Linked DNA regions of Solanum lycopersicum. The protein of the gene in region 2 interacts with the protein of the main gene of each other region in a pairwise test. Links are inferred from orthologs where the notes say so. Each region holds a gene or a part of one and is shown on either strand. Other genes may lie near its edges.

What was found.
Region 1: the proteins of PHD-finger family homeodomain protein (region 2) and methyl-CpG-binding domain-containing protein 2-like interact in binary tests that used the Arabidopsis thaliana proteins (3 or more experiments, as listed by UniProt). The link is inferred for Solanum lycopersicum from reciprocal best matches to the Arabidopsis thaliana genes HAT3.1 and MBD02.

Annotation. Positions count from the first base shown.
Region 1 is NC_090804.1:62,075,032-62,080,183, reverse strand, and holds the start of methyl-CpG-binding domain-containing protein 2-like, read right to left. Parts: upstream 3,624-5,152; 5' UTR 3,444-3,623; exon of another isoform or gene 3,342-3,443; intron 2,108-3,341; exon of another isoform or gene 2,077-2,107; intron 1-2,076. UniProt on the Arabidopsis thaliana protein: Probable transcriptional regulator.
Region 2 is NC_090800.1:91,031,424-91,036,610, reverse strand, and holds the start of PHD-finger family homeodomain protein, read right to left. Parts: upstream 3,452-5,187; 5' UTR 3,129-3,451; intron 2,022-3,128; 5' UTR 1,733-2,021; coding exon 1,266-1,732; intron 481-1,265; coding exon 315-480; intron 221-314; coding exon 97-220; intron 1-96. UniProt on the Arabidopsis thaliana protein: Binds only to large DNA fragments. Recognizes a DNA fragment carrying 8 copies of box7 motif of the light-induced cab-E promoter of Nicotiana plumbaginifolia. Also recognizes the box7m1 motif.

The sequences.
Region 1 (5,152 bases), on a different chromosome or scaffold from region 2:
CAGGTCACATTGGAAAGTTGGTCTAACTAATTGATCATTGGTGTACAAGAATCACCCAACATTGGGACTACTTGACACACAGAGACAGAAGCTTTTGTTTCAATCATAAAAAAAGGCTAAAGCAGCTATTTTAGGAGTTTTGTGTTGGTCATAAATCTTAAGCAGATAAGTTCATCAACCAATTGAATCTGAGCTTTGTTCAAGGTACGCCACATTTTGGGTTTGGACAGCAGAGCTAAAACAACTATTTTAAAGTCTAGAGCCTAGAGTTCCTCTTAATAAAGTAAGGCATTAATGGCATCCCGTAAAAGCAAAATGAGTGAAAGAGTCCAGATTCAAGTTCCTAGGAGATGCCACTCCCACAAGGGGGATAATCTTTCAAGAATTTTTCCTTACAATAATGTCAAAAACTAAGTTCACTAAGGAGAGCTTCCTAACAAACATCAGGTGGGCTGCATGAACATGAGGGGCTGCTCACCCTTATTTTTTATTTGGTTGGACAATATTGAAGAATGTAAAGAGTGTACAAAATTTAAAGTAAAAAATATACCTACTTTATAATATAAATATTTTAGAACTTTGACTTAAACTACTCAAATCTTCATACTAATAAATAAATAATTCACAAAAATATTCAAGCTAGTGCAATGCAACACATGATTAACATCTTATTAACTTGAATTAGTCCTTACTATACAAAATTATAATATAACTATGCGAAGTTACAAGAATTATGGTTGTTAAGAATACTACACTGAAAACAAGTACGAAAACATAAAAAAATTGCACTAAATTATTTTTTTGTTTGCTATTGTATATATACTTGAGATCTCTAACTAAAATTTGATTTTAAACTACTAATTTTATTGAGATGTCATTGGAAAACATAATTACTTAAGATAGAATAATTATTCCTTAACATCCGCGAAAAAGCTCTCGGTATGTGGGGCCTTTAAGCGCAAAAAGTGTGGGCTTTAACAAAAAAAAAGGCGCAAAGGGAGAAAAGAATAAAATATATATGTTTAGTCCAAGACTAATAATTATAAACAAGAATGACAAATATATGACCAAAGAAATTGAAAACAATTATGATAAAGTGAAGTATCAATTTTTAACCTCAAATTCTTCATAAGAGGAAATGTTTGCCTTAGAACCTTTACGATGACACTAAAGCGCACATAAAGCGAGGCGAAGCACTCAACACATTTTGAGCCTCGCTTTAGGGCTTAAGCGCGCTTAAAGCCCGCCTTTGATAACACTGCCTATCATCACATTAGAACTTGTCTAGAAGTTAAAATTATACATGCTTAATATTTTACAATCTTAGAAAGTACTTTCTTCTAAACACTTTTATGAAGAAGTCTATCAATACGAGCCACAAATTGATTTTATTTTAGTGAACATCAAGTCAAGTTCAATACGCAGAAAACAATGTGTACCATTAGTTGAAAAGGAAGGTGAGACAAATATTTCTATTTAACACAAACATTAGTTAAAGACCATTCGAATTGATGGAAACACAGAGGGAGGTGAAATGTATGGATAAACAATCCTGTCAGCCACGATAATGGTAAGGTGAAAGGACGTTATATCTACTTAGTGATATTTATATTTGATAAATGGTCATATTATGATTGATTGATCGTAACACGTGATCTCGCGCACGATAAACAATAAAAAATTGTTATCCAATTGGTAAAATCTTTCTTTTTCACGCAACTTGTAAACAATAAAGAATCGTAATGCTATTGGTGAACTCTTTCCTTTCACGTAACTTGTAAAATCAAAAATTTGAATATATCATTGAATCATTTTACCTGCATTCAGCTTCCCGAAAATATATGAAAGTAAGGAAGTATCAGATTTGCAGACTATTCAATGTTAAAGCACGGCGTAACAACAAATGTAATAGACAAGTTACATCCAAGTAAAAGCGTCTTTTCTAGTTTGAAAATATATGTAGAGTGGTTATGCTAGTTTGAATACAGTTGCTGACGGAACTTAGGTACAATAACTACACAACAAAAGGTATCAATGTGCTAGCTAAGCTATTTGGGTTCCCGTTGTTGTTCATACCTTTTTCTTAAGAATACTAATCAGCGGCTCCTCCTTCTGATAAAAGAGTAAGAAAGTAATTGTTAAAGACGTAACGCCTCGATCGCATTAAGTGAATGCGACTAATCTAGATGAGGACATAACGATTAAAAAAAAAACTAAACTAGGTGAGAACTTTTTCAGTTTGTATAGTACTAATAGTTATACATTCACTTGGTCCGTGCAACTGAACTAGGTGAATATGTTGTTAGTTCAACAACTAGTTCAGATGGCTAATGGATTTTTTCATAGATTCCCAGCAAAATAACTACATACCTCTATATCTGCATATTGTTTTTATCAGAACTAGAGAATGTCATCATCGTGTAGCACACACAATAGTTTAACACCTAAAATACAATGAAGAAGAACGACAACTATGCCTTAGTCACAAACTAGTTGTGCTCGGTTAAATAACTTCACAACATAAAAAACAAACCATAAAACTATGTTGCTCAGACTCCCCAAAAATATTGCCGCATCTGCCTCGGATCCTAAAAAATACACTTATTTTTGAGGATCCGACGCAGATGCGGAAACATATTTCGAGAATCCAAGCAACGTAGCTTAATTGGTTTGTTTATCCTGTAGTGAATTTATATAACCGAGCACAACTACTAATTTTGAGTATCCAACACGCACCCCACGGGATCCTACAAGAGTTTGAGTAGCATAGCAATTAAGTGACCACAAACTCAAGATTCTATTAATAAAAACACCTACTTTTATTGAACCCTAAATTGAAAACAAAACCCTAGTTTTCCACAGGCCATGTGCATTCAAAGTAGAACCAATTTTTCCAAATTAAAAGAAAATGGCATCACATGAAAAAATAGAGAAGAAATATTCACCCAAGAAGGAACCTAAAATCCAATAAAACAAGAACAATCAAACTAAAGCATTGGCAGAAAATGTAGAAGTAAAAAAAATCCCTTTTTTACAAAAAAAAAAAAACTTAAGATTTATCAACAACTTTCAAATACTTAACCCTTTTTGATTTCTAAAATCACATACCTACAACAAAAATGACACAAAATCAAACAAAGAAATACCTCAAATCATTAAATTGAATTCTTGACAAAAAAAAAAAAATCCATAACACAGATTGAAACCCATTCACATAAATCAAATGAATCTATCACTAAACTTATCAAAACAATAAACCCGATCCACATGCATTTCAACACAGCTATACATATTTACAAAGAAAAAAAGATTGCATAAACCATAGAGCAAAAGAGATATACCCAAAATCAGAAACAAAGGGATCTAAGTCAGCATCATCCAAGAATCAACGTTTTTGGGTAAATTCCTTTGGAGTTGTATGCAAGAAAATATATGTTACTTACAGATTAAAAGACTGCAATATCTTTGTTCTCCTAGGGAAGTGAGAGACACACAGGCGGAGATGAAGAACTCAGCTAAATTTAAGTACTAACTTTTTATTGCAAAACTAAATGATAAAAATAATAAATAAAAATGTTTATTTACTATTTTACCACCTTCATATTATAACATTCGCGTCGTTTAGTTCAAAATGAGGATATCCTGATCATAAATAGAAATAGAAAATCATTTTTTAACTTTATATTTATTTATTTTCACTAGATATTTAATTATTGGTGTCGTTTCATTCAAACGAGGATATTTCGATCATAATAGAAATTAAAAAAATTAATTTCACATTTTATTTACTATAATATTCTAATATTTGCGTCGTTACGTTCAAACCTAGGACATTCCAATCATAAATAAGATTAGAACAATCATTTTCACTTTTTATATTTATTTATTTTTATTACGATATTCTAATATTGGAATCATTTTGTTCAGGGATATCCCGATCATAAACAAGATAAGAACAATCAACTCAATTTCCATGTTTATTTACAATTTTACCATTGGTATTCTAAAACCCTATTTATTTCGTTCAAAACGAGGATATCCCGATCATAAACAAGATAAGACAAATTTAACATTTTATATGTAGTGATACTTTACCACTAGTATTCTAATACCAGGGTTGTTAAGTTCAAAACAAGAATACCTCAATCACAAATAAAATTAGAACAATCAATCTCACCTACAATATGAATTAAGTAAAAATAATATTCGCTTTATTCGGAGTATAAGCGTCAAACTAGCTAATTTTTTATCTGAATTAGAATATAGAATTTTCAAAATAATTGATATAAAATTTATTATATTTTAAAATTACGAAAAAAGAAATATTGTGAGTCACAATAGTTAAATAATATCATCACCTACAACTCAATTCCAAATAAATTGAGATAAGGATATCTGAATCCTCATTTGTCATTTGAGCTCATATTATATTATTAACATAATCAATTTTAAGAAGTAAAAGACTATGTTAAAATATATATACATAATAATAAAAGCTTCATACAAGTTTAAGATCTATCCTTTAACTTGTTGTCAACAACTTAATGGATCTTTTTCATTGTGTCCTATCTCATTTAAACATGTATTGATATCAAACAATTACATGTTTACTGCAATCACTTTCTTTTAGGTCCGACTCACTTTCTCTTTATACCTTCACTTACTATAGTTTCATACCTACAAATCGGTGCATCTATAGATTAACACAGAATTACTCCAAATCATTTCGAGCGACATTCTCACATTATATTTTTAATGTGTGTTATTTGCAACTTCTAGCGAATGTGATCATCTTTATCTAATCTAATTTGATATGAACTCAAATTCATCCTAACATATGTATTTTCATATGTCACGATTCAAACTGTCATGAGTGACACCCACACTAACCTTTACTAACAACCAACCAAAACTTAACTTAAACAACATTTCTAAACCCAAGTCATACTATAAACTAGAAAGAAAAATAATTTAATACAATGAAAGAGTTGAGTTTATAGGAACTCAATCAGAAGTAACAATAATTGCGAAATGAATGCTTAGAAATTGAAAGTCGTAGCACCAAAACTCTATTCAATATAGGATGGGGATGCAACCCCGAAAACTAGGAAACAAAACTAATAATCTAAAAGTTCGTGTTTGAAAACATGGA
Region 2 (5,187 bases):
CAAGGAACAAGAGAACCATGAGAGTAAGGAAGTTATTTGACACTTCATAAAACAAAAGCTATCAGAAAAATTATCAACGGGATAACTGAACATTACTGTCTTCTTTTAACAGAGGTGGCTCCACACACAACTGGTGAAATCCACGCTCACAAGCGCCATCACAGAGAATAATATCATTATCAGCTGGCAGATCCATAGAGCCACACTTCGCACAGAATATCTGCAGAAAAATAAAGATGCCTTAGTAATCCAGTTATCACATCATACCACCGTGAACACACCTAAAATTATAGCAGCCAACAAGCATATCCTACATCTTCACTGTCGATCTCCCCTTCATTGTCAAATAAAGATGCTGGAAGCCTCCCTTCAGCAAGTAATGTATCAAGGCGTTGAAACAAATCTCTTATTTTCAATTTGTAACGAAAAATATGAGTCTTCGCTCGTTGTAGCTCCTTCTCCAGCTTTATCTTTTCTAAGCTGCAAGAGTGTCGAGACCATAAAACCCAACAGTGACTTTGAAAAGTATGTTCTCAAAATTTTAACATAAATAGAAAATACAAGCAAGATAATTTTACGCTAGGTTAAGCAGGGAAATGCAATTAAGGGTTCAGGTCAAAGAGCTGATAATTTTATAGAAACAAAAACAATGCACTAGGCATATAAACATAAATATTCTCCCCGCCTTATGAATGTGACATGACGGGGTAAAATAGAATCAGCTTATTTGGGAAATAAAATCTAGTCGGTGCTAAACCCATTGCCCTTAGACTATGACAGATTTCAGCAAAGCACAATACAAATCTACAGGGTTAGTATGCTTACACCTGCTTCCTCCCAGTAAAGAGCAAGTAATTAGACCATCATACCAAAGCAACACTAATTTGGCATGAACAGCTTGAAAGTACTCTTTCCCAACTACTTTTTTTGTTATTGAATAAGGTAAATGATTTTATTGATATAGGAGAAGGCCAGTATACAGGCATTAACGTATAATATTTTAGAGTAACATCTCTCGGTTCAATAAACTAAAGTAACTATGCCTTTGTTCCATCAATATCAACCTTTTATACTGTTCAAACTTCAGAAATAGGAAATATTGATTTAAGCTAAAAGCTGCTATGAGTGTTCAAGTATTTGCAAGTCAGAAAACTGTGTACTACAATAAAGCTGCAATAAGTTATAGAAGATTGCCTTTTCCAACCTTCATTAAGCATTCATCAATTAAATTTACAGCATAATAATTCTGATAAAAGGTAACTAACCTTTGTCCTTTCCAGCCTTCACCAGAGTAAGCTTCAATCAAGGTTTGCTCATATTTTATTCTTTGTAATAAGTATCTCAGATGGCCCCTGATTCTTGTGAATTCGTTCGCAGCTATATGTTTACTGTGTTTTTTCTTTCTCCTTTTTCTTTTCTTTTCCTCGGTAGCATCATGAGTTACCACAGTATTTTTTGCCTCAGAAGCTCCAGACTTCTCCTTCGACTTCGAACGTAGAAGTCTAGTACTGCTAATTGGGGATCCTGAAATAGATTTTCTTTTTCTAGGCTGACCAGGTGATTTCTCTCGATATTCTGACTGATTAAGATTTTGAACTGTGTTTTCACATGATTCTCTTGATTGGTCAGCACCAAGATTCTCAGACATATTACCTGCTGATGCAGTGTGATGGCCCCCACCAGCTGTTCTTGCCTTTTCAGGTGACACAGATGTGTTTCCAAGAGTTGACATCTCGGTTTGATCTTCTAGCTGAAGTCTCGTCACTTCCCGATTGGCATTACCAAAAATGTCTTCACAAGACAGTCATCCTCTATGTAAATCCTACTATACCTGCTTTTCCACTAGTTAGTTTCTTCTCTTTATTTTCATCTTAATGACCTCTGTACTGAAGTTCTAAGTTCCCGCAGAGATGAATATTTCAGTGATACAAGATCACTAGAAATTCACTCTCTCAATTCTCACAAAGACCAAGGAGGGCTAAATTTCTTATACTCCAAACTGAAAATCCAATATTGCTTCTCTGACAAGAACAAAAAGAGAGGCATGAGCACATATATATCAAATCAAGTTGCAGTTATTTTTAAAAAAAAATAAGTTATACTTATTTGTACCAAATACTTAAATGTGTGAGTAAAAAAAATAGAAATGTTGATATGCGCTTAAAATAATGAGGATTAATGTTTGATACAATATTAGTTAACATTTCGTTGCTGGCATTTTCTCTAATGTGTACCTCATTGTATCACATACTACAGAGGCACTATTAAAAACTTATCTACTTTTGGCTAAACTTCATAAATGCAACTGAGCCAAAAAAAAAAAAAAGAACAGGGGCTAAATGATCTCCTTTTGAGTAATGAGGATATGTAGCACGAATAGATATCTGTTGAGAGTACTAACCTATAGATTCAAGTATTACACAAATTATTTATTCACTTATCTCCTAGCCTAAGGGTAGGAAATTCACTCTTTTTTTCTTTTTCTTGAACCTATTTGCTAGTCTATCCAAACCTTTATTTTTAGAAATTAATCTGTAAGAAAGAGGCAGACCAAAGCTTGAGTTGCAATTATACACCATATCCAACAGCCAATTCAGATTTGAACTCATCTGACTAAAGAGTGTTCAAGAAAACTCTATGCAACTATAAAGCTTTTACTTGAGCATTGAAAACTAAATGGACAAGACATTAGAGATTATAATTTAAATTTAGTTGCAAATGCATGAATTTAGTGTGATGTGTAAAATGCATCAAGTTTCCCCTTTTCTTGTTTCTACCCACATTTGGGCAACGATGCTTGCAATAGGTTAAAAGCAGGAAAACGGAACCTTAAAATACTTTCAAGATTAAATAAAGAAAACCCATGCATCCCTAAAGTTTTAACTTGAGCATTCAGAACTAAATTCAGGTGAGATTAAAAAAAAAAGAAGAAGAAGAAACACTAAGTAGAATAAATATAATAAATAAATAAAATCTAGTTGCAAATGCATGAATTTAGCGGAAAATGGAAAATGTATCAAGTTTCCCCTTTTTCTAGTTTCTACTAGATTTAGGCAAATGGGGGTTTGAAAAAAAGGGAAAAACGGAACCTCAAACTACTTTCAAGATTTCAAATTTTCAAGAATTACCTTTGTTTGCAGATAAAGAAATCACAGACAGCGAGAGTTTGAATTTAGAATCTGGGAAACTAGGGCTTCAAAGTGAATGTGTATTTTTGAGAGAAAGAGTAAGTGAGTGGATGAGAGTATGAAAAATAGGAAGAATGGCTGGTAGATAATTGGTGTTAACGAGGCTTTCTCTCTAAACCGATGGAAGATGAAAGCTCGTCGGTGCAGTTTTTGGTTCCCTTGAAATCAGGGTGCGGGCGGGGTGGTATTTTTCAAGCAATAGAATTTAACACTCACTTTTGCCGCGCCGCCACTGTTTCCCTCTCTTTCGCCTCACCCAAAATGTGACGCTTTTTTATGGGCTTAAGCTTGACCCAACTCTTTCTTATATAACTTTTTTTATTGGGCCTAAATGGGAAATTCTTTAATGGGCTCCAAGTGCATGAATCACCTCTAGACCAAAACGGGAAAAAAACTTAATGCAGTATTACATTGTATATGTGACCAAAACAGGAAAAAAACTTATATGCGACAACATTAATTATTATTGCACATAAAATATTTACCTTAATATCATATTTTATTAATATTCTCTATATTTTTACTTGTCCATTATATTAAAAATAGTTATTTAATAATATTTGTTCAATTTGAAAAATAAAGATATAATCTATTTTTTATGTCTATTTTACCCTTAATTAATATTAAATACTAGTTAGTACTCCTCCATTCCGAATTAATTGAATTGTTGAGGTGTTTCACACCCTTTAAAAAATAAGATTAAGAGTTTGTTTGACATTACCGTTAGAAATTGCTTGTTTTGAAAAATCATTTTTTAAAAAAATTGTTTTTGAAAGTAAGTAATTTGTGTTTGATTTATTCATTTGAAAAGTCTTTTTGATATGCAAATTGTGTTTGACTAATCTTTTTTTTAATAATGCTTTAGTGAGTCAAATTACGCAAAAGTGTAAGTATCAGTGTAATTTTATTATACTAAGATTACTTTATAGAAAGAAACTACTTTAAATATCGGTTAGAAATTTTTTAATGGAAATATGCATATTTGAATTTTCCATCAATATTATACAAAATATTAACATGATAACTTAAATATAATTCAAAATATCAAGAAAATAAATTTAAAAATTAATACGCAAATTAAACCACTATATACAAAAAATTCATCATAAAAATAAATAAAATCCTTCATATTTTTAATCCTACAAAATGTTGTTGTTACATTATTATATGATTCTGTAAATAATATATAAAATGTAAAATAATAATAATAGTATATAAACGTAAAATAAAAAATTATTATAGAAAAATAAAAAATAAAAAGATTGTATGAAACTTAATCAAATTTATGATATAGGTTAACTAATTAATAAGAGATAAATTATTTGTTGCTTCTTTTACTTTTTTTAAGAAGCTAAAATTTTAAGTTTCTTCTATCCCAACAGCAGAAAAGTTGTTCCTGCTATCATTTAAACGCAGTTTTGTATTTTACCAAACACTATTTTGTTAGAAAAAAAAATATATTTGACCTCCCAACAACAATGTCAAACAGACTCTGAGACACAAATTAGGCACATCATTTCATTTTATCCTTATTAATAATTATTAAATTTATGATTAAAATAACTCAATATTTACTATAATAATTAGTTTCAATACTAACACTGTGTTTGGATCATTGTTATCCATTATTTCATAATGTATTGTATTGTATCATACTCTATTGTATTGTATTGTATGGTAGATACAATGTTTGGCTAGATTGTATTGTACTGTATTATATGATAGATACAATGTTTAGCTAGATTGTATTGTTTGTTGTTGTTTAATAACATTTTAATTGTTTAGTTTGATTGTATCGTATTGTATTGTAATTTATAAATTTACTTAAATATCCTTAATTATTCTAGGATAGAGGGTTTGACTATATTTAAATAATTAAGGTAAAGGGTAAAATAGTATTTTGGAAAAAGAAATTAAGTAACAATGGGAACACACCAAATTGGTTGTTACATAAAGCAGGGGTTTCAATTGTTACGTAACAAAGAAAATTAACAATACA